Linked DNA regions of Cricetulus griseus. The protein of the gene in region 3 purifies or fractionates together with the protein of the main gene of each other region. This does not show direct contact. Links are inferred from orthologs where the notes say so. Each region holds a gene or a part of one and is shown on either strand. Other genes may lie near its edges.

Region 1 (4,019 bases), on a different chromosome or scaffold from region 3:
GCACATGAGTGTGTTTTTCATATGGATTGGTATAGATGCAGAGTCTACAGGACAAACTGCTCAGATGTGAGGGAGGATGAAGGACTTAAGAATGCCTTCTAGTTCTGGACGGCAGCTCACTGAACTAGAACATACCCAGCATGCAAAGGCCCTGGCTTCAATATCTAGCACCACTAAAAACAACAGCTATCTTCTAGGTTGTGCTGGTATAACTGGATAGCTGGAGACAGCCCATCTATAACTCTGTTGATTTCTACTAGTCTCCACTTTATCTGTTACCCATCTATGTCTGGAGTTCTACAGAATGGTTCATAGTAGAACTAGGAATCATGGGAGCCAGCATCATATATTCAATATTTAAAGCCCTAAAACAGATGGTCCTGCCTTGTCCAGCTGGTCAGTTTCTAGTCACCCTTTAAGGCTTAGTTCATCTGCATAGTGGGGCATACCTTTAATCTCAGTACTCCAGAAGCAGAGGCAGGAGGATCTCTGAGTTCAAAGTCAGCCTGGTCTACATACAGTTTCAATCCAGGAAAGACTACAATAGCAAAACCTTGTCTCAAAAATACAAACAAACAAACAAAAAAAATTAAGTCCCTTCCCTCCCCATCTCTGACAAGCCTACAGAGGCAGAAACAAGTTCTTATATCCAGCTGATAAAAACAAGAGCTGAGCTAAAGTGCCTACATTATTCATTCACTCAACATTATTACCACCTGCCCATAAAAAGACTTACATAAAAAATGTTGCAGTGTAGCAGATGCAGAAATCCAAAACTAACCATTAGGCCAAGCTCCTGGAGTATAATCAAAGCCATAATATGAACAAAGGGAGTCAAGACCATGATGGGGAAGCCCATAGAATCAACTGCTCTGAGCTAGTGAGAGATCACTGATTCTGATCTAACAAATGGGGGATCTGCATAAGACCCAACTAGACCACCTTAATATAGGTGGCAATGGTGTGACTGGGACAATATATGAGGCCACTGACAGTGGGTCCAAGACCTAACACTAATGCACAAACTGACTTAGTGGAGCCCATTCTATATGGAGAGATACCTTGCCCAGCCTAGACACAGGGTGTGTCGGGTGGAGAGGTACCTTGGTCCTACCTCAACAAGATGATGGGACAGACTTAGTAGACTTCCTAGGAGATACCTTACCCTCTCCAAGGAGAAGATGGGAGGTGGCGGGGAGAGGAGAGAAGGGAGGGGGAATGGGATTGGAATGTAAAAAATTAAATAAAAAAATACTATAAAAAAAAAAAAAATGCTGCAGTGTGCCTATCACCAGATAATAAATGTGGTTAATCCTACAGAGTTCCAGAAGGGTAGGCCATAGGTAAGTACTCACCAGCAGACAGTGGGCAAAGTCAGGACCTCCCACCAAACCAGTGAAATTTCCCAGCTGCTCAGCAAGAGCTAACAGCACCTCATCTTCATCATAAATTGTATCTGAAAATAACAGCAGTTGGTTAGCCCATAGAGACAAGTGCCACTAAGCTAGTACTTACACAGCTGCTGCAACTACAATTCTAAATAGTATTGTCTTCCTTGTCTAAATCAGAAGTCTTCATGAATGTTTCACAGAATTACTAAGAAATTAATATCCCATGTCAACTACCTTCCCATTAGTTACATGCCTTATGTTTGAGTATGTCTGGCTTAACATTTTTTTCTATACACATTGCAGAAGGCACCTGCTCCTTCTAGTACTTATTGCTACACTACGTAACAAACTAAAAACAGTTTGAAAGCCAATGGAAAATGGCTTTCTTTAAAGGACACATACCTGTAAGGAAAGGCAGCAGTTCAGTTCGAGTCCTTTCCACTCCGAGTGCTAAAGCAATAGTAGATAACTTCTTGATACTGTTGAGACGGAGCTTCAAAAATAAAGTGGGAAGAAGAACAAAGCAAAGAGATGGTTGCAATTCAGGTCAAAAGAAGCAAATAGGTGAAACACTGGTATACAGTATATAACGAGGATGAGTCTTTCACTTAGATCTTATTCCTAAAATAACTCAAGGACCGTTTAAACACGTCATTAGCCAGAGGCTATCCTAGGGAGAACACTGAAGGGCCGGGAAAGAAATGAATGAATGAAAACACGCGGGCAGTGAGAGATTCTGAAAAGAGAGAACTCTGGACCGAAGGAAGCAGGTGAAACGGTTAAACACAACTCCTCCCTTTTCAGAGAAAAGTTCCATCACAACTGATGCACCACTCATCTGTGTTAATCAGCTGTGGCGCTCTTCCCACCCAACTAGCCAGGCCAGTTTGCCAGCAGAGACAGGCACTCCGCAGCGCTTCAAAGGCAGCCTGGTGCCCGGGCCGCTCCTCCGCTCCCGGGCGGCCCCGCAACCCACCAGCAACCCACCGGTGCTCGTCCACCGGAGGCGGGAACTGGCTTGGCTCCCCGCCCACTGCCGGAGCAGCCGGGTGCCACCACCCCAGAGGCTCGAGGTCGAGCTGCTGGGAGTCCAGGCGGACCACCACGGAGCCTCCGCCACCCCGTCCCCTACGAGCGCTGAATACAGCTCTGCCGTCCCCGGGGCCGCCCCCACGGCTGAGCCGGCCTTCCCGCTTCTCCACCATGTGCGCCTCCGCCCTCTCCTCGACTCCCCAGCCCCAGCCTAGTACCTGCACGTCCTCATTGCGGAGCTCGTCGATTAAAACCGCGATCGGGTAGAGCGAATCATCTCCATCTCCGCCGGCTGCACCCGGACCGGCCCCGGGCCCCGCTGCGCCCGCCATGTTCTTTCTCCTCTGGCTTGTCGCCGCCGTACGCCCCGCGCCCCGGCCACGCCCCGCGCCCCGGCCACGCCCCACGCCCCGGCCACGCCCCACGCCCGGGAAGGCGGGGCTAAATCCAATCGGCCGGCTCTGGGGAAGCAAAGGAGTCGAGTTTTTAGCCTGGGCGCAGAGGCTCCGTCCTGACCCCCATTGCTGAAACTGGAGGTCTGAACTCCAGAAGAAGGGCGGGCTGAGAATACCAATGGAACCCCTGCATCCTTTCCTCAGCCGAAAGAAACATGGGCAGGGATTCATCCTCTGCTCGCTGTGCTCTGAAGGAGAGGGGTCTGCCTGAGTGATGGGTGCCGAACCTCAGTAGAACTCCAGGCCAGAGACTGTACCCTAGGCCAGGAGGAAGAAACTTTAGCACCTCCCCCAGTTTCATGGTGGCCTGGAGCCACTGGGTCTGAGCCCTGATTTCCCCCTGGGCGAGAAGCCTCCACACAACCCCTCCAGCTCTTCCTCTGGCCTGTTTGCCAAAATCGTGGCTGGCTCCTCCTACTTAAGACAAATAATGAGTGCGGTGAGGGAAAATGAACAGTGCTGTCCAAACTCCCCAGTCAATATTTTTTCCACGCAAGTTGTTTAAAACATGCTCTCTTGTTTTTGTGTTTCTTTTCAGTGTGGTACTGGAATGGCGCCTTCTGTTGTATTGTCTTCCTTTTTTCACTGCTCTACAGCAAGAAGCCCAACCACCAAGCTTAACTATGCACAGTTTTAATCTCCCCGGGTTCGGTGGGGTGGAAGGACCGGCCTCCCTAGACCTCCAGAAGTCCTCCTAGAGGACCTCAAGAGGAGGTGGTCCTGGGCGTTGTTTCTTACAGAACTTAAAGGATTAAGTTTTCACTTGCCCTCTGTAATTGCACCAAGTAACTTGAATGCCCTGTCTTTTCATGTTTTAGACTAAGATGAAGCAGCTTAGATTGGTAGTTCTGTACGACCATCACAAGTTCTCAAATGACACTATTCTGTGCCTTAATGAAATTGTTAAGTTACTAATAAATGCAATTTAGGAGGTAAGGGTTTGTTTTTTGTTTTTGTTTTTAAAATATGGGACTCTTAGCAGGAAACAGTCTTTAGTAGTCAAAGCTCGAAAACCAACAGACTTCAGCAGTTTTGGTTTTTGTTTTCTTTTCTCAAAGTGGGTCTGTGAATGTATGCTTGAAGGCTTTCATTTTATTTTTATTTTGATAACTTTTGGATTCCCATAAGGCACCGGCTGGAC
Region 2 (3,500 bases), on a different chromosome or scaffold from region 3:
ACCAACGACACGTCATCCTTATGTATAACTGCACTGCAGTGGAGGCCTCGTGGGGCCTGGAGGGACACCTGGGAGAGCATGAATGCTGCTTAGCTTTTCTGGAGAGGTGCCCTGGACATCATGCAGGGCCTCTGAGGAGCGCTGACACTGTGGCTTCTAACCCTAGCTTAGGTACTATGACAAAGTACTCTGCCACATGGTGGTACACACCTGAAATCCCAACCCCCAGAAGGCTAAGCCTGGAGAATTGAGATTTTTTTTTTTTTAAGATTTTATTTATTTATTATGTATACAACATTCTGCTCCCATATATATCTGCACACCAGAAAAGGGAACCAGATCTCATAACGGATGGTTGTGAGACACCATGTGGTTGCTGGGAATTGAACTCAGGACCTCTGGAAGATCAGTCGGTGCTCTTAACCTCTGAGCCATCTCTCCAGCCCGAGAATTGAGATTTTAAGTCTACCTTGAACCACACATCATATTCTACGGCCATTTGGTATTACATATGGCTCTGTGACACATACACAAACTAAAAGTATACACACTGTTGTGGTATGAATGAGAAATAGCCCAATGTATTTGATCACTTGGTCTCTAGTAGGGGCTTTTGGATTATGGAACCTTTGGGAATTGGCACCTTCCTGGAGGAAGTAGGTCATTGGGGGTAGCTTTGAGGATTTGTGTCTTCAACCAATTTACAGTTCACTCTCCCCTTCCTATGTGTGCTTGAGAGGTGCCCTCAGCATCCTGCTCTGGCCACCTGCTGCCATGCCTTCCCTGTCTTTACAGACTCACCCTCTGAGACCTTAAGTTGCTTTTGGTCATTGTACTTCAGTATGGCAATGGCAAAATAACTAACAAGGACTATCAGCAGGACAGACAGGCCAAGGATCACATTAACTTCCATGGCCTGATCCTGAGAGGTGAGTGTCAAGCACAGGCCTTCCCCCTCCAGTCATGAGTGCCTAGCCTGTGGTTACCTGAGTGGTGGCAGCTCTTGAGAGGGCAGTACTGCAGATGCTTCCCCAGCCCCTGGACAGGCCTCGGACCAGCAGGCTGGCCTGGACCCAGCCCATGCCTCAGCAGATTCAGCCACCAGCCTAGTCAAGAGAAGTTGAGACATCATTGAGCCAGGCAATACAGCTCAGATGGAAGAGCTTAGTCTACCAAGCCCCAAGTGTTTATTTTTGTTTCATTTTGTTGTTTTTGAGATAAGAGTATCATGTAGCCCAGGCGTGCTTCAGATTTACTCTGCAGCCAAAGATGGCCTTAAACTCCTACTCCACTCTCCAATGCTGAGATTACAGGTATGAGCCACCAAGCCTGACAATTTTTTTTAATTTATTTTTTATTACATATACGGTATTCTGGCTGCATATTTGCCTGCACACCAGAAGAGTGCACCAGATCTCATTACGGACGGTTGTGAGCCACCATATGGTTGCTGAGAACTGAACCCAGGTCCTCTGGAAGAGCAGCCAGTGCTCTTAACCTCTGAGCCATCTCTCCAGCCCCAAGTCTGATAATTTTTAAAATTATATTTATTGATTTATTGTGTGTATGTGTGCCTACCTCATGCATCCACTGTACATGCACTTTTGTGGAGGTCAAGAGATAGCGTGAAGTTGGTTTTTCTTTACCATGTGAGTTTTAGAATTAAATTCAGTTGTTCAGGCTTGGCAGCAAGTACCTTTATACAACGAGTCATCTCACTGGCTCATACCTGGAAGTTACTCTTCATTTTTTCCCCCAAGACAGGCTTTCTCTGTATAGACCAGGCTGGCCTCGAACTCACAGAGATCCACCTGCCTCTGCCTCCCAAGTGCTGGGATTAAAGGCGTGCACCACCAACGCCCAGCTCTTTCCCTGTTTTTTGAGGCAGGTTTTCTTGTAGCCCAGGCTGGCTTCATACTTGCTATGTATCTAAAACTGACCCTCTTGCTTCTACCTGAGTGCTGGGGTTACAGGTGTATACCAACACACCCACCTCCAGAAAGTTTCCATGGTAGCAAGGATAATGAAAACTCTTCCTAACATGTTCTCTGAGGCCTGGATACACTAATACCAAAACCCACAGGTACACTAAGAAAACTACAAATCATTGCCTCTTGAATATAGCTGTAAAGTTCTCTTGCAGTGGATTTACAAACATACAAAAAGGATTCTACATCATAGCTAAGAGAATTTGTCTCCAAAATGCAAGGGTAGTTTAATATCTGAAAATTTATTTAATATATTAATAGAACAAAAACCCCAAATTACATTATTTCAGACAATGCAGAAAACTCTTACTTTTTATTTGTTTGAAACAAGGTCTCACTATGTAGAACAGGCTGGCTGTGGGGTTCCCTGTAAGTGTCATGATCAATGGTGAGACAATCTGGATGAGGTTAAGCACAACTTAGCTGGTGCTGGGTCCAAACTTCTGGAGTCTAATGTCAAGTGGTTTATTTCTTACACATTTAAACAAAGTAAAATTTTAGAAAAAAAAGTTTGCATGTCATGTGACAATTATCCTGACAAAGCATTAGGCATGACTACATGGAAACTGCCTTGCAAAGTGCATCTCTGTAGCAAAGCCCCTATGACCTTTCCCACAAGAATGGATTCTGCTGACTGAGAACAGTGATCAGGACAAGAGCCTAGGGAGGAAGGGTTTGTAATAAGCATCAGGATGGGTTCTTTTTGGTTTTTCGAGGCAGGGTTTCTCTATGCAGCCCTGGCTTTCCTTGAACTGGCTTTGTAGAACTCACAGAGATCCACCTGCCTCTGCCTGCCAAGTACTGGGATTAAAGGTGTGAGCCACCACTGCCCAGCAAAGGATGGGTTCTATTGACTGAGAAATAGTACTTAGAAGTCTAGGGGGAATAAGCATAATAGCAGGCTCTTTTGTAAAGCACACTCGACCTCTTTCATGAGGATGGGCTCTATTGACAGAGAATGCTCAGGATTCTTGGGGATTCGATGAGGGCTGGCTTTACAGAATAGCAGTCACATCCACTCATGGCCTTATGGATGGAAAACAGGTGTCAGTTTCTTCATTCTCTAGTGCTGTCTGTAAGCTGCGCCCTCCACAGCTGGCCTTGAACTCAAGAGATCTGCCTCCTGAGATCTGGGATTAAAGACATGTGCCACCATGCCCAATGAGAGATTCTTTTGCCACAGTTCAGAATCCAGACAAGGGTGTGCAGTCTGGCCACTTCTCAGTGTTGCACCAGAACTTCCAGTAGTAGCACTCAGGCAAGAGAAAGAAATAGAGCCGCCATCGAGACAGCTCAGTTGGTAAGTGCCTGAGTTCTATCTCAAATACCCAGGGTGAAAAAAGAGATGGGACTGGTGAGATGGTTCACTGGGTAAAAAATGCTTGCTGCCAAGTCTAAGGACCTGAGTTTGATCCCCAGGACCCACATGGTGGAAGGAGAGACCTGAATTCTACAAGTTGTCCTCTGTGCTGGTGTCATGGCACATCTGTATATACATACTCAGGGATGTAC
Region 3 (2,711 bases):
TGTAGAAGTGAATTGCAGAGGACTCTAACAGTGAGTCCTCTTCTGCAAACTTAGTCCTGCACATTCATTTCAGGTGCTATCTCGAGAGTGTACCAAACCATGATTCTCATCTCCAGCCCCTCTGGTACTATGTATCCCTGTGTTTAAACAATAGGTTTGAATGAACAGGAATAGCTATGTATAGGATTCTTCTGAGTTTGCTTGGTGTTGAGTTTGGGACAAGGTTAACCATACTGCTAAAATATTTACAGGCAGCTAGGAAGAGCCCTGAGCAATGTAGTAACTTGAAGGACTTAGGCATTGTAAAGACCACTAGCCATGTAGGAATAAGAAAGCAAGACATAGAGGTCTGGATAGGAGTAGGAATGCTTGGAGTTTTCCAAGGAGAGGATAGATGCCATTGGTTGATTTTTCACTTGCCAGGAGAGTCAGAGGGCACTGTGGAATGTACTGGGTTTCTTTGTTTTGTTTGTTTTGAAACAGCATTATGTATTGTGTAGCCCAGGCTGGCCTCTAACTCTCTGTATGAGTAAACATGTTGGCACAAAGCTGTATTCCATGCACTTACAGGAAAATCAGGAGTTTGTGGTCATCTGCTACACAGCAAGTTTGAGACCAGCTTGAGCTACATCTTGTCTGTAAAAACATAAAAAAAATAGGATTGGGGGGGGAATCCTCACTGTATGGCAGCTGCTTATAACCCCAACAGTGGAAAATAATTCCCAACACTGGGACAGCAGACATGGGATCTCAGGGGCAAGCTGGACAGCTTGATTTGTTGGAATCAGAACAGTCTGATTCAGTGAGAAACCCTGCCTCGGTATGTAAAGTGGAGAGCAATTAAGGGAGAAACTTGTTCAGCCTCAGGCCTACGTGCATACATGGGCACACGTTTACTTAAATCAGCTTGCAAACCAAATACTCACTCTGACTCTTGCTTCAGCTGTCTAGGTGGTAAGATTATAGATGTGCACTATCCACTGTACCTAGCTTTAAAAGAAACTTAGAAATTAAATTAGTCACATTATTTGATAACTGAGTTAACATCCATTAGGAAATGTGACTGACATGATCAGTTTTGACTGTAATTGTTGATGAGATAGGTCGTCAGGCTTATGGTAACTATCAGTTCGAAAATAAGAAAGATAGGGTTTTGGGGGATGGGGGATTTTTTGGGGGGGGTTGTTTGTTTGTTTTTTGCATAGACCTTGGTGTCCTGGAACTCACTATGTAGACCAGGCTGGCCTCAACCTGAGAGAGATGTCTGCCTCTGCCTCCCAAATGCTGAGACTAAAAGTGACTTGGACAAAGTTAATTTCCTTCCTCCTCCCTTTCCTATCCCTACCCTGCTCTTCCCCTCTCTGTCTCTCCTCTTTCCTCCCCTTCTGTACATTAATTAGGAGAGATGGAGGAGTTCTATCCCCAGCCCCCATTTCAGACAGCTCACTTCCTCCTGTGCGAACCACTGCTAGGGATCTGACACTCTTCTGGCCTTTATAAGAATGTTTTTAAAATGATGGGTCTGTGACTTTCTCTTGGACATGAAAATATAGGGGGTTCACTGGAGAATCTGCACTGTTTCTTCCTGGTAGTGTAGAAATTGGGCCTCGGGAGGGTCTGCACTTTATGCCATTGCCCTGGGTTCTTCTTGCTCTGCTGGGTATTCAGTGTTCCCTCTCTCTCTTGAACAGTGCCATTATGACGGGCTCCTACAACAACTTCTTTAGAATGTTTGATAGAAACACTCGGAGAGATGTTACGCTGGAAGCCTCAAGAGAGAACAGCAAACCCCGAGCCTGCCTGAAGCCCCGGAAAGTATGTACAGGGGGTAAGAGAAAGAAGGACGAGATTAGCGTGGACAGTTTGGACTTCAATAAGAAGATCCTTCACACAGCCTGGCACCCCATGGAGAGCATTATTGCTGTAGCTGCCACCAATAACTTGTATATATTCCAGGACAAAATTAATTAAGGAAACTGACTGGAGGACCAAGTGTTGTCTTGCATAGTTAAGCCGGTTGTTTTCCCGTCAAAGAAATGGCATTGTCCTCTCCATTGAGAATAGTGACGCACTTCCACTTCCCTCATAGACACAGGAGAAGAAGGGGTCTCAGCTGGAGTCTTGGGAGAGATGAATGCTGCTGCTGAAGGGAAAACCTACTCGAAGCTGAATTGGTGGACTTTGTTCAATAAAGGCCGTTACTCAAATGTATTTATTTAAGTCTGAGCCTTCCTTTCCAATTTATAGACCAAAAAATTAACATCCAAGAGGAAAAAAAAATCATCACATCTCTCTCCAGCTCTTCCTTCTATCTCTGCCATCCATCCCTGGGCTTTAACCTGGACATGGTGTGGCCACCACCCACGGTCCTCTCTGGAGGACCTTGGAGCCCCCCAGTGGGCTGCAACACCACTGGTGCAAGGATACGCCCGAGCAGGCTCAGGCAGCTTTACTCACCCACTGTACCTGCCATCACACCTTCTGTGGAGCTACTTAATAAACACAACACACTGTGAAGTGTTTTTAAACCCAAATGCCATTGCAGTCTTTATTTGTTTCAGTTGCACATAATGAAATTATTCAGAATATTGCACTTAACAAATTGAGAATTTTTTGCCTTTGGCAGAATGGTTGAGCTTGTGCACAACTTCAGATTCTAAATGTAACTATACAAAATTGCCACTTGGTTTCTGTAGAAACTTCATCTTGGG
Region 4 (4,184 bases), on a different chromosome or scaffold from region 3:
TTGATACTTAAGACAACCAACAATGTCCCTAGTCTGTCAATGACTGACTCTTAAGAACCACACCTTCCATTTCCCAGACTGACTGCCCCTCCCCCCACTTTGTTGAAAACCCAGACAGGTGATTACATACAAGCAGGCAATGGAGTTGCTTCAAAATATTTAATACGTGTTAGACACGTAAAGTTACATTTTTATACAAAAATCAATACAGAGGAGGAGAAAATACTGTACAAAAACCTTATCAGCTCCCCCAACCTTTATACAACAAAGACTGGAGTCACCGTATCTACAAAACCATAAGGTCCTTCCACTTAGAGCTCGTCTGTAAACTTTGTTTCATTAAACACTTTTTAAAAGCACTGTGTAGTAAGTTCTGAGCTAGAGCTTTTAAAAATATATCTTTTCTCTATAAACTCCGTATTTCCAAGCTTGAACTCTTCTGTGAAGTTCACCAAGCTTTTTTATCCCCTTTGAGGAATTGAAGGTCCCTTAATGTTCTGCTGTCCCAGAGTAATCACAGGGTAGAAGCGCTTCTTCCGTGCCAGAGAAAGGTAGGGAGGGAGAAAAATAATACAAGTCTCTACTCCAGGCGAACTCCCTCTCGTCTGAGGAAATCCTGTGAGGAAACGCCACTCGGCGCGCCGATGAGGTTCTAGCTTTCATGAGAGTGTGTAAAGTCCCTCTCTCCCCCAAGATCAAATGGGGAACTCCCCTGCCTCGAGCCATTCAGCAGCTTCCTTTTCTGTGCTGCTGGCAGAGGAAAGTCCCTGTCTGCGCCCCCAAAAGTCTCAAGCCCCGGGGAAGGGGTGGTGCATTCCAGAACCACAGAACAGTCTCAACAACACAAGACAAACTTACACACGGACACACACACACACACACACACACACACACACACACACACACACACACACACACACACACACAGTCACACACAGACACAAAATTTAACGATCGATCGTCCTCTTCCGATAAGCCTCCAACTCTAGGTCTCTCTGCGTGAGACTCGAGAGCCACGGCCCAGCCGGGCTGCCCCGTTCGGGGCGATGTGCTGCCCGGCAGCAACCAGTCTCCCCCTACGCGCCCAGCGCCTACGGTCTCGGCTCGTCCTCGGGGCCGGGAAAGGCCACGGCCGAACTTCGGGGACGCCCGCTGCTCAAGCTCCAGCCGCTCGGGCCCCGGAGACTCAGAAGGCCACGATGGCTGTGCTCCAGGGGCTCATGTCTCTCAGCACCGGCTTGTCGCAGCAGATCTGCCCAGGCTCGGCGGCTTCCGGGCCGCTCTCCTCCGCCTCCTCTTCCTCCCGGCCGCCCGCAGGGCTTTTCCGTAGGAGTCCCGAGAAGCTAGAGCCGAAGATGCTGATGAGGTTTGCCACGTTCCCGGTCTCCATCTCCTCGTCCGTGTCCGTGTCCTCCTCGCCGGTGCTCGGCTGCTCTTCCGAGTTCCGGCGCGGCTTCTTGAGAGGGGTCGAGCCGGGCGCCGGGCAGCCAGCGCGGCCACCACCCACTCCCGCTGCGCCGCGCTTCCTGGGACACGGGGCGGGTGGCGCGGGGGAACCGTCCTCGGCTGGCTGCTCCTCCCGGGCCGGGGGACAGCCGCACGGGCGGCGCACTGCCCGGGGCCCCTCGGGGCACGTGTCCGGGCCGCCTCCAGAAGCCATCGCGCGCGGACGCTCCACGCGGCCCCAAGCAGCTGCCGCCGAGTCTGCCTCTCGGCCCGGGAGAGCGTCCCCAGCTCCGGCCACGGCGGCCACCGGCTCCGAGCTTCCCGTTCCCGGCGTGTGGCACACCGAAGGGCGCTGAGGCTGCGGCTCGGGCTCCGGCCAGGCGGCGCGGGCGGACGGCGGAGGCGGCTCTCCCCAACCGGAGGGTGGCCCGGCCACCGGCTCTCCGGGCTGCTGAGGCGGCGGCACCGTCGGGATACCCGTAGGGCCGGCCAGGTAGAGGCCAGGGCACGGGTCACTCAGGTAGACCTGGCGGGCGCTGCGCAGCACCAACGACACCAAGAGGTTCTTGTGTAGCTTGATGCCGCCGCGCTGGACCCGCGAGTTGTAGATCTTGCCGAGGGAGATGCTGACGATGCGGTGAGCCTCCAGCTTGAACTCCATCCTGCCTCCGCTTCTCGAGAGTGGCGCCTAGACGATGGGGTGAACGCCGAAGCTGCGAGAGGAGAGGGAGGCGGAAACAGGATCGCCTCTGGGGTGCACCCTCGGCGGCTGAAAGCTCGGTGGAGAAAAGACCCGGTGATGCGTAGCCCCCTCCGCCTCTTCGCCGCAGACAACAAACCTGATCTGCGTTGGTCGCTAAACTGAGCGGAACGAGCCCCACACAGCGCCTTATATAGACTCCTCGAACGCCAATCACAAAGCGCCGCCAACCGTTCTGGGCGGGCCGATGTGCCTCGTGCGCCGTCCCCAGCCAATCGGAGGCGGAGGAGGGGCGCCAGGGCCGGTTCAAACGTTAGTCCCGCGGAGCAAGCTCTTAAAGAGGGCGATCGCAGGCGGCCCAGGGACCAAGTGCGGTGGGATTTGGGTCCGAGGTAACGGTGAAGGTGAGTGAGGCCCACAGAACTGTCTGTCGTCACAAATTCCGATTTGTGAGCTGTCTTAGCCAACCTCACTAGAAGCGGACTATTGGAACTTTCGTTGGTTTGGAGTGCTGGAATCTACTACATAGTAAAGTTCGGCTCCTTTCGTGCGCAGTTTCCAGCTGCTCACACCATTTCTTGGCAGGAATAGAAGCTATGGCAATACAAAGCAGGGACAATCCTGAACGACAAACAGTACGAGGTATTTGAGATATTATTTTGGAGTCAGATCCTTTCCCATTAGCGTCACACTTTCAGCATCTGACCACAAGCAAAAGGGGAGGTTCTAGAAATTCCCAAGCTTCTGGCCTATCAAGGAACAGTGTTCAAGTACAAAGTCATTGTTTCTCACCTAAAGCTGGCATCTTTCACTTAGTTCCCTAAATTCTCGGTTGTCACACAGATTAAATGGAATAAATAGGAGGTGTTACCTACTTCTCCGAAGTGTTTGCTTGTTTGGTTGTTTTTATTTGTTGTTTGTTTATTAACACAGTAACTGAACTAATCCACACTTGGGGAAATCTAGTAAGTTCTAAAAATACAAATAGAGAAGTTCTGGGTTCCCATAATAATGTTGTAAATTTGTTTTATGTCAAGCTAATAGTATGGGGAAAGGGTTCCATCCACTGAGTCTTAAAAGTACCTAGCAAAGGGGCCACAAGATTGTATTAGTGCCTTCTGACTTTGTAAATTACCTCATAGTCTTTTAGTTTCAATTCTAAAAAGGAGAAATCATGTATACACCCACTTTATTATACAAAAGATGCATGACAACTCTTAGACACCATAAAATTAAGTGCCACTTTCATGGAGCCTGTGTGCAAAGTTGACCTAATCCCACAGTAGGGTTTCTCCAAACAATGTGTTTATGTAGAAAAAAATACTAGTGAGAGTAAGGCTTGACCACAGGAGAGCAGCTTAGTGAGGTTCTGATAAGAGCCTGCTGCATTACAAATGACCTGTTCAGGGGAACACAGAGAATGTACCAGGTAATAGTGCATCTCATGGGTACATTTACTGATGCCACATAATAAGTGGTACTTAAGACAACTGCACAGAGATGTCCCATGCTCCTGTCTAACACAGTTTGCTTAAATTTATTGCCAACTGACAATCCATCTTGAGTGGACTCAGTGACTTGGCTAGTGACCATGGACAGGTGCAGGACCTGGGTCTTTCAAAGCTTTCTTTCTTTCTTTCTTTCTTTTCTTTCTTTCTTTCTTTCTTTTCTTTCTTCCTTTCTTATGAGTGCTCTGTCTTCTCCTATGTCTGCAGGACAGAAGAGGGCACCAGATCCCATTCTAGATGATTCTGAGTCACCATGTGGTTGGTGGGAATTGAACTCAGGACCTCTAGAAGAGCAACCAGTGCTCTTAATGACTGAACCATCTCTCCAGCCCCAAAGCTTTATTTATTTTAATCAGAATTTCTTTTAAATATTTATTTATTTTTGGTTTTTCGAAACAGGATTTCTCTGTGTAGTTCTGGCTGTCCTGGAACTAGCTGGCTTTCCCCATGCTGGGACTAAAGGTGTGCAATACCACACCCACCGAACATCATTCTGATTTTATTTTTAAAAAGTCAAAGGACATCAATCC
Region 5 (3,500 bases), about 37 Mb from region 3:
AGGCTGGCCTTGAACTCAGAGATCCACCTGCCTCTGCCTCCTGAGTGTTGAGATTAAAGGCATGTGCCAACACTGCCTGGCTTTTAAAGTATTTTTTATTTAATGAGGATCTTCCTGTCATCCTTGAGATCACTGATCAGAATAGTGCTTTATACTACGTTAGAATTTACAAGCATATAAATAATTTTTCATCTGTTTGGGCCTTGCAACACATTGTAAGGGATTTCCCTCTCATTACAACATAGTAGAATCTTCACTCATAAATTAGACTTGGGAGTATGAGGCAGAGGGATGACAGATTCAAGGCCTGCTTGAGCTGAGCAATTCAGAGAAACTGGTCTTAAAAATTACAAGAACAAGGAAAGTGAAAAGAGCCAGGCATGTAACTCAAGGGACACAAGCATGCTGAGGCCCTAGGTCATCCCTAGTACCTCTCTCTCTGTCCACCCACAATGAAGAGGTCTGCCCAAGGAAATTAGCAAACAGTAGCTTTGGAATCAAGGCAGTGAGTTACATTTGTCTTTCATGTGCTGTTTCACACTTAACCATCACTAGTTATTATTGTAGAGGTACCCTTGGTACAGGTACCCACTCACTCATAGTCACACAAAAAAAAAATTAAAGCAGGTCTTTTAGATGCTCCTGATTTTTAATGCCTATTCTTTGTTCTTGGCAGTGTTTTAAAATAAGCACCATTGTATGATTTTGTAAACTCCAGAAGTGTGCTTGAAGGGGCAAGTGCAGTTATTAAGCAATGACCATCCATAAGCAGTGACTCCCCATTTCTCCTAGCCAAGACAATCACTAATCTGAAGATTTGCTTAATCTGAACATTACATATAGATGGAATTGTATAGCATGATCTTTTGTGCCTGGCTTCTTTTACTGGATGACAGACTTTTTAAGGTTCATCCGTGTTGTTGCATACATCATACATCGGTGTTTTCTTTATATGTCTGAAAAATATCCCATTGTATGAATATGCCACATTTTAATATATTCATCAATTAATATGTAGATTTTTATAGCTGTTCATTATAAATAATATTACTGTGAATATCCATTTCAGCCTTGTATGTGGACATTTTTTTTTTTCCTGAGGTGTATACATGAGCAGGGAATTGCTAGGTGAAGTGGGAACTGTGGGAATTCTGAGAAAATGGTTTTCAGAAGGCTGTAACACTTTTCATTCCTATTAGAGGGAATCCTGGTGGCTATAAAATAGTATCTCATTGTGGGAGGTTTGGGTTTGGTTGGTTTGATTTTTGTAAGATAATGTTTAGTCCAAGCTGGTCTCAGACTAGCAATTCTCCTGCTTCAGATCCAGAATACTTGGATGACAAGCAGATGCCGCCACACCAGGCTCATGTTTACATGTTGCCTGTTGCTGTTGGGAGGTTGAGGCAGGAGGCTCATGTGAGCCAGAAGAAAACAAATAGGAATAGAAAAGAAGCCATCAGATTATCCAAAAGTAGAAGTCAAGACAGCCTGCAGCACTGTAGGAAGGTCCTCGAGAAGTGCAAGTCCCCTTCCTTCCTTCCTTCCTTCCTTCCTTCCTTCCTTCCTTCCTTCCTTCCTTCCTTCCTTCCTTCCTTCCTTCCTTTCCACAGACACGCTTTCTGCCCTGCTCCTCAGGGGTTGCCCTAAGACTCACTTTGCTTTTATTCCTGCAGACCAAGAAGGACCATCCATACACCTGGAGAATTGAACTGGCAAAAACAGAAAAGTACTGGGATGGCTGGTTTCGGGGATTATCCAATCTCTTTCTTAGTTGTCCTATTCCTAAACTGCTGCTCTTGGCTGGTAAGTGAGTGTGTGTGTGTGTGTGTGTGTGTGTGTGTGTGTGTGTGTGTGTGTGTGTGTGTGTGTGTGCTAAACACGTGTGTTTAGCTGGAATGATCAAATACCATAAATTGGATGGCTTAAAGAACTGAAATCTAATTTCTTACAGTCTGGGGGCTGAAAGTATAAGATCAGAGCATGAGTCGAGTTAAGTTCTTAGAGTTCTCTTCCTGGTTTGCAGACCTCTCTGTGCTTTTATATGGCTAGGAGAAAGCAAGACAGCTTTCTGGATCTTGCAAGGACACTAATCTTACTGTGTCAGAGACCCCCACCCTTATAACCACATATTGCCTTTTTGTAGACCCTATTGTCAAATACACTGGGGGCTAGGGCTTCACCATGAATTGTGTTTAGTCCATAGAAGTGTGAGTGAGTACTGTCATCTAGATGTGAAATGAGGTTTAAACACCCTCCAGTGCTGCATGGTGTTGACCTAGCCTTTGTACCCAGAGCTACAGACAGTGTTGTAACAACATTCTGAATACTGTGAGAATTGAGACAGTAAAATCTTGTTTTCATCTTTAAATGAGCATGATTGGAGCTGGAGTTAAGAATATTTGTTACTCTTACAGAGAACCAGATTTGGTTCCCACCACCCACATTGTGGCTCACAGCCATCTGTAACTCCAGTTCTAGGGGATCCAACACCCTTTCCTGACCTCTACAGGCACCAGGTACATAAGTGGTACACATGTATACATTCAGGCAAATACTCACATACGTAAATGAAATAATGAATCTAAGAAAAACCATAATTACCCAGAAATCTCAACTTGAAATTTTCATCTGGTGAGAATATACATGTGCCAGTCTGGATTGAGCGTGTTTATAACTCTGAGGCAGCATTTACTCAGTGAAACCTATTTCCCAAGGCCTTTTCTAGGAGCTACTCACAGATTCTCCTGTTTTGTTCTAGGTGTTGATAGATTGGATAAAGATCTTACCATAGGCCAGATGCAGGGTAAGTCATCCAGAAATTGTGCCCATGGATCCTTTTCTGAGGGCAGGGAAGTGGGTAGTTATATGAAGATTGATATTCTGAGATAGTGAGGTACAGTGGAGAGAGTTTGAACTTATAGTTGCGCCCCACTGGACAGCCACCTCTTCCAACCACCAGTCGATTATGGGCAAGTATCTTCCCCTTTCTGAAGAGTGATGCCCCCCACACACACACACGCACACGCACACTCGCGTAAAAATGAGTTATTACTCTAGCTGTTTCCAGGATGGAAGAGTTCAAATGAGGTGATGCGCCTGAGAGTTATTAAGTATTACATAGGCATCTAACATAGTGAACAGCGAACAGCCATAATTTTCTAGTGTTTTCTTATGTTCAGAGTTTCTAGAAAAGAGAAATTGTGTGAATACCCGATAGTGTGGTCCTTTAGAAGACATCATGGTGAGGAGGGAGAGGGGGCTTCAGTTCGGGGGTGAGATTTAGACCCTGCTCTCCTAGTAATCTGTGTCAGCTGGAATGCTCTTAATGTATAAAATGAGAGCATCAATGCCAGCCTCCAGGGTTTACAAGTATAGTGGGCCTGGGCATCACAATACTTGTGTGAACAAATGTGAGGGCTGTGCAGCAGTGGACGAAGCAGGAGCCATTTTTTTTTTTTTTTTTTGTCTCTATGTTCAAATCATATGCATTAATAATATAA
Region 6 (4,053 bases), on a different chromosome or scaffold from region 3:
ACAGCAGTGATTCTCAGCCTTTGGGTAATGACCCCTTTGGTAGTCAGTCTTTCACAGGGGTCACCTAAGACCTTCAGAGGACAGATACTGACAATGTAATTCATAACAGTAGCAAAATTACAGTTACCAAGTAGTGATGAGATAATTTTATGGTTGGGGCGGTCACCCCAGCATGAAGACCTGGTTAAAGGGTTGCAGAGTTAGGAGGGTTGAGAACTCCTGTCTGAAAGGACCCAGGAATCGGAGTTGCTGGGTCTGCTCCCTGGCCCCAGACTCCCTTTCTCCCTGGAACATACTCTTGACCCTATTCTGAGGGTCACCACTGAGCCCCATGGAGGTGGCCTCATAGCCTGGATTACACAGGGTCAGAGTCTGGGAGGCCAAGCAGAGCTTCTGAGGCCAGGCTGGCTCCCAGCGTCCTAAGGTCTGGGTGGGAACCAGAGAGGAGGGCAGACGGCAATGTGTTGACTCTTGGAAAGTTCCTGCCTGGTATCTGGCTTTACAGTTTAAAGAGTTGCTGGCTGCCTCTGCCCAGAGCCCTGGCTCCTGTTTAATATTCTGCTGCCTGGTTAGTGTTGGGCTTGGCTCCTGTGGGGCTGCAACTCACGGCTGGAAACGGGAGCCAATTTTCTGTCTTCATCTCACAGTGTTGTGACTGGAGGCAGACCCAGTTCAGGCCGACAAGGGCTGTGGAAACAACTGCCGAGTGTCTGCCTGCTTCACCCCGGGAGGAGAGAGTGTGGCCGAGGAACTGGGAGGAGAGACAAGTGCTGGAAGGACCCTAGGACTTCTGTCCTGCCCCTGTCCCCCTCCCCCATTGACAGCAGATTTTATCAAAGGGGACTCCTAGAGGCTTGAATAGAAAATTGATTTCACCTTATTAATAGAAGGGAAGCACAGGGCTTCTAGCCCTTCCTCTTAGAGGTGCGTTCGTAAGATCGGGAGGAAAATGTATTTAGGATACAGAGCAGCTGTCTGAGAGGGGCTGAGCGGATCCGAGAACAATAAGAGTGGGCTCTAAAGATCCGCCCTGAGATGCAGGCTGCCATTTGCAGTAGCTAAGCTGAGAGCAGCAAGAGTTTGCTGAGGTGTCCTGGGAAAGGTAGTCTGACGGTTTGGTATGAAGGGAAAGGAGAGGAACTGAAAGCCTTCCCAAGTACCAGAGACCATCATCCTCAGGCTGGCTCCTAACCCAGGCTGTATATCTCTCCAACTCACCCACCCCTTCTTTTCCAGGTCTAAGGCTGTCAGAGATGACGCTGGTTCTGTCCATGAATAGATTCTGCGAGCCCATTGTCTCAGAAGGAGCTGCTGAAATTGCTGGGTACCAAACGCTATGGGAGGCTGACAGCTACAGAGGTGTGAGCCCCCCAGGGCCAGCACAGCTTCCTTTGCAGGGAGACCGAGGAGCCAGCCCTCAACTGGCAGGTATTGCCTTTGGCCTTCTCCTTAGGAGGTGGTGTTCAGTCAGGCTGGGCTCCTTGGGAAATCCTACTTAACTTGCTCTACAGTCCATCTGCTGTGGACATCCTGGAGCAGTGGGTTTTTGGTTTTTTGTTTGTTTTTTAAGGGTCTGAACCAGATACTGAAAGTTTGGATTCAGGCTTTGTGTCCTTGGGAAGTGAATGGTCCTCGGGGATGTACACATCACAGGGCCCACAAGCAGAGCTTCTGCCCCACCAGGCATAAAGAAGTCTGCACCCTTACCACAGCTTCAAGCTGCTCTTCTTCATGAAGCACACAGTTGATAAGAAAATAGAAATATATTCTTCTGGGCTTTAATTCTAATAGTCTCACATAAGTTCCTTTGAGTGTTTATAAAGCGATAGTTTTTTTTTTTCCTTTTAAAAAGAAACTGAAATGAAAGCTTCATGAAAGTCTAGTTTCTGAAAAGGTTTTAAAGTCCTCAAAGGAGGCCCTGCTGTATTCATGGTTGACGTGTTAACACTACCAGAGTGAAACAGCATTTAATCACTCCAAATGTTAAGCTTCCATATGTAACTTCGTATCTTAAAAGAAAAGCTATTATAACTCCATGTATGTATGCATTTGTTTACTAACCCTGAAATCAATTCGTACCCATGATTTACTACCTCTGTGAGGTGGGGTCTGAGTCAATGCTGGTATTGCTTTGGACAGGGTCTCTCTCTCTCTCTCTCTCTCTCTCTCTCTCTCTCTCTCTCTCTCTCTCTCTCTCTCTCACACACACACACACACACACACACACACACAACACACCACCACCACCACCACCACCACCACCACCACCACCACCAACGCCATCCATGAATTCCGCTGTTTGCCTGTACAGAGAGTTAAGATCCCAGGCATTTAGTAAATGCTGAAAGGTGGGTGACATTTTCCTCTGATGTGGCCTGGAAATCTTTACCTTCCCAGACTCACAGGATTCAGTCCGCTGGTAGCTGCAACTATGAAGACAAATGTTTGTTTTTCATCACTGCGTATACAGTCAGGGATGTAGCCAAGTTATCCACTCCAGGGAAAGGAAATGAAAGCATTTTGCTTGGAGAACCGCTGGCAGGCTTCGTGTCATTTGTCTATCTGATTTATTACTGCAGGATCACATTACAGGGGAATTCCAAATCCTATAAGCACATCCAAGGTCACATATTTCAAGAGGAAGTACACAGAAGAGGAGGATTCTCACCCAACACTCAGCAGCTGCAGCCGTAAAGTATGTTTAAACAGCAGTTACTTTATTAACAGTTACAATGTCTTGTGGCACTGGCTTGAACCATTTCCAGACATTAAATTGTCCCACCCAAGCAACAGAAGAGAGCCACTTCTTTATGGGACTACATGAATCACTGTCACTTTGGTGGGGGGAACCTGTACTGGATAGCACTAAGTCAATTTGTCACAAGCTAAAGTCATCTGAGAGGAGGGAAGCTCCATTGAGAAAATGCCTCCGTAAGATCAGGCTGTGGGCAAGCCTGTAGGGCATTTTCTTAGTTAGTGATTGGTGGGGGAGGCCCAGTCCATTGTGGGTGGTGCCATTCTTGGAATGGTGGTCCTGGGTTCTATAAGAAAGCAGGCTGAGCAAGCCAGTAAACAGCTCTCCTCCATGGTCTCTGCATCAGCTCCTGCCTCCAGGTTCCTGCCCTGTCTTGAGTTCCTGTCCTGATGTACTTTGGTGATGGCCTACAGTGTGGAAGTGGAAACCAAATAAACCCTTTCCTTCCCAAGTTGCTTTGGTTATGCATTTCATCACAGCAATAATAACCCTGACTAGGGCAGGGCCTGTGTTACTTTTCACAAGTACTTGAAGAACCAGACAGAGATTCTCTGCCTGGAAATAACCACAGTATGTACGGAAGAACACATCTTTTTGTGGATAATTTAATACTCTGGGGCTGCACTGAGGCCCAGGGCTGCTCTTTGATGTCACCTGTTGGGAGATGCACTTGGCTTTCCTGACTCTGGTCTGAGCTCTGCCCACAAGGCTACTTCTGTGTGCTGGTTGAGGTGGTTGTTCAGGAGTTTTCCTGGGGGGGGGTCAATATATTGTCCCTTGGATACGTACATAGAGCTGTTTGTGATACGTTGTGACATATGTCAAGTTTGTTAAAATCCAGAATTAATTCCCAAGGAAGGACCAAAGATAGCTGTTTTTCTTTCCACACAAAATAAGGAAATACAAGTGCATGAGGTGAAGGACCGGGTGCGTGTCTAAGCTTAGGTTCGTTTTCCTCTGTGGTTGCCTCCCCTCCAGAACTGTGCCTCCAGCTCAGCTTCTTCCACCTCTCTGTCCCCACCCCGCCGGCTGCCTCCCCTTGCCCACCCCTCTCCAGGCTTTAGCAGTTGCTTTTGCCTGTTTGTCAGGAGGCACCCATGTTTGTATCTGTAGTTCCTGTGGGTGCTGCATCTGTGTCCACTTTCCAGTTGCTAGTGAGATGTGTCAGCTCTGGAGAAAGTTCAAAGTCTACCTGGGCTTCGTTGTGAGTTCCCAGGCCGCCTAGGCTACATAGGCAAGGACATGTTTGCTGCTTTTTTTTTTTTCACACACACAAAAAAATGTTAACAATAATAGCA

Evidence for each region.
Region 1: the proteins of serine/threonine-protein phosphatase 2A 55 kDa regulatory subunit B delta isoform (region 3) and Ppp2r1b purify together in Homo sapiens (affinity purification with mass spectrometry; 4 studies listed by BioGRID and IntAct, counting the BioPlex papers as one, with this or other methods). This does not show direct contact. The link is inferred for Cricetulus griseus from reciprocal best matches to the Homo sapiens genes PPP2R2D and PPP2R1B.
Region 2: the proteins of serine/threonine-protein phosphatase 2A 55 kDa regulatory subunit B delta isoform (region 3) and Ecsit purify together in Homo sapiens (affinity purification with mass spectrometry; 3 studies listed by BioGRID and IntAct, counting the BioPlex papers as one, with this or other methods). This does not show direct contact. The link is inferred for Cricetulus griseus from reciprocal best matches to the Homo sapiens genes PPP2R2D and ECSIT.
Region 4: the proteins of serine/threonine-protein phosphatase 2A 55 kDa regulatory subunit B delta isoform (region 3) and Ier5 purify together in Homo sapiens (affinity purification with mass spectrometry; 3 studies listed by BioGRID and IntAct, counting the BioPlex papers as one, with this or other methods). This does not show direct contact. The link is inferred for Cricetulus griseus from reciprocal best matches to the Homo sapiens genes PPP2R2D and IER5.
Region 5: the proteins of serine/threonine-protein phosphatase 2A 55 kDa regulatory subunit B delta isoform (region 3) and Ppme1 purify together in Homo sapiens (affinity purification with mass spectrometry; 4 studies listed by BioGRID and IntAct, counting the BioPlex papers as one, with this or other methods). This does not show direct contact. The link is inferred for Cricetulus griseus from reciprocal best matches to the Homo sapiens genes PPP2R2D and PPME1.
Region 6: the proteins of serine/threonine-protein phosphatase 2A 55 kDa regulatory subunit B delta isoform (region 3) and Sertad4 purify together in Homo sapiens (affinity purification with mass spectrometry; 3 studies listed by BioGRID and IntAct, counting the BioPlex papers as one, with this or other methods). This does not show direct contact. The link is inferred for Cricetulus griseus from reciprocal best matches to the Homo sapiens genes PPP2R2D and SERTAD4.

Annotation. Positions count from the first base shown.
Region 1 is NC_048597.1:162,627,407-162,631,425, reverse strand, and holds the start of Ppp2r1b (serine/threonine-protein phosphatase 2A 65 kDa regulatory subunit A beta isoform), read right to left. Parts: upstream 2,801-4,019; 5' UTR 2,756-2,800; coding exon 2,642-2,755; intron 1,885-2,641; coding exon 1,794-1,884; intron 1,457-1,793; coding exon 1,356-1,456; intron 1-1,355. UniProt on the Homo sapiens protein: The PR65 subunit of protein phosphatase 2A serves as a scaffolding molecule to coordinate the assembly of the catalytic subunit and a variable regulatory B subunit.
Region 2 is NC_048597.1:134,975,358-134,978,857, forward strand, and holds part of Ecsit (evolutionarily conserved signaling intermediate in Toll pathway, mitochondrial), read right to left. Parts: intron 1,107-3,500; 5' UTR 1,083-1,106; coding exon 987-1,082; intron 69-986; coding exon 1-68.
Region 3 is NC_048596.1:62,097,709-62,100,419, reverse strand, and holds the end of serine/threonine-protein phosphatase 2A 55 kDa regulatory subunit B delta isoform, read left to right. Parts: intron 1-1,691; coding exon 1,692-1,971; 3' UTR 1,972-2,211; downstream 2,212-2,711. UniProt on the Homo sapiens protein: Substrate-recognition subunit of protein phosphatase 2A (PP2A) that plays a key role in cell cycle by controlling mitosis entry and exit. Involved in chromosome clustering during late mitosis by mediating dephosphorylation of MKI67.
Region 4 is NC_048598.1:36,655,457-36,659,640, reverse strand, and holds Ier5 (immediate early response gene 5 protein), read right to left. Parts: upstream 2,801-4,184; 5' UTR 2,108-2,800; coding exon 1,187-2,107; 3' UTR 141-1,186; downstream 1-140. UniProt on the Homo sapiens protein: Plays a role as a transcription factor. Mediates positive transcriptional regulation of several chaperone genes during the heat shock response in a HSF1-dependent manner. Mediates negative transcriptional regulation of CDC25B expression.
Region 5 is NC_048596.1:99,195,970-99,199,469, forward strand, and holds part of Ppme1 (protein phosphatase methylesterase 1), read left to right. Parts: intron 1-1,673; coding exon 1,674-1,803; intron 1,804-2,758; coding exon 2,759-2,803; intron 2,804-3,500. UniProt on the Homo sapiens protein: Demethylates proteins that have been reversibly carboxymethylated. Demethylates PPP2CB (in vitro) and PPP2CA. Binding to PPP2CA displaces the manganese ion and inactivates the enzyme.
Region 6 is NC_048598.1:2,353,527-2,357,579, forward strand, and holds the start of Sertad4 (SERTA domain-containing protein 4), read left to right. Parts: upstream 1-1,253; coding exon 1,254-1,428; intron 1,429-2,579; coding exon 2,580-2,695; intron 2,696-4,053.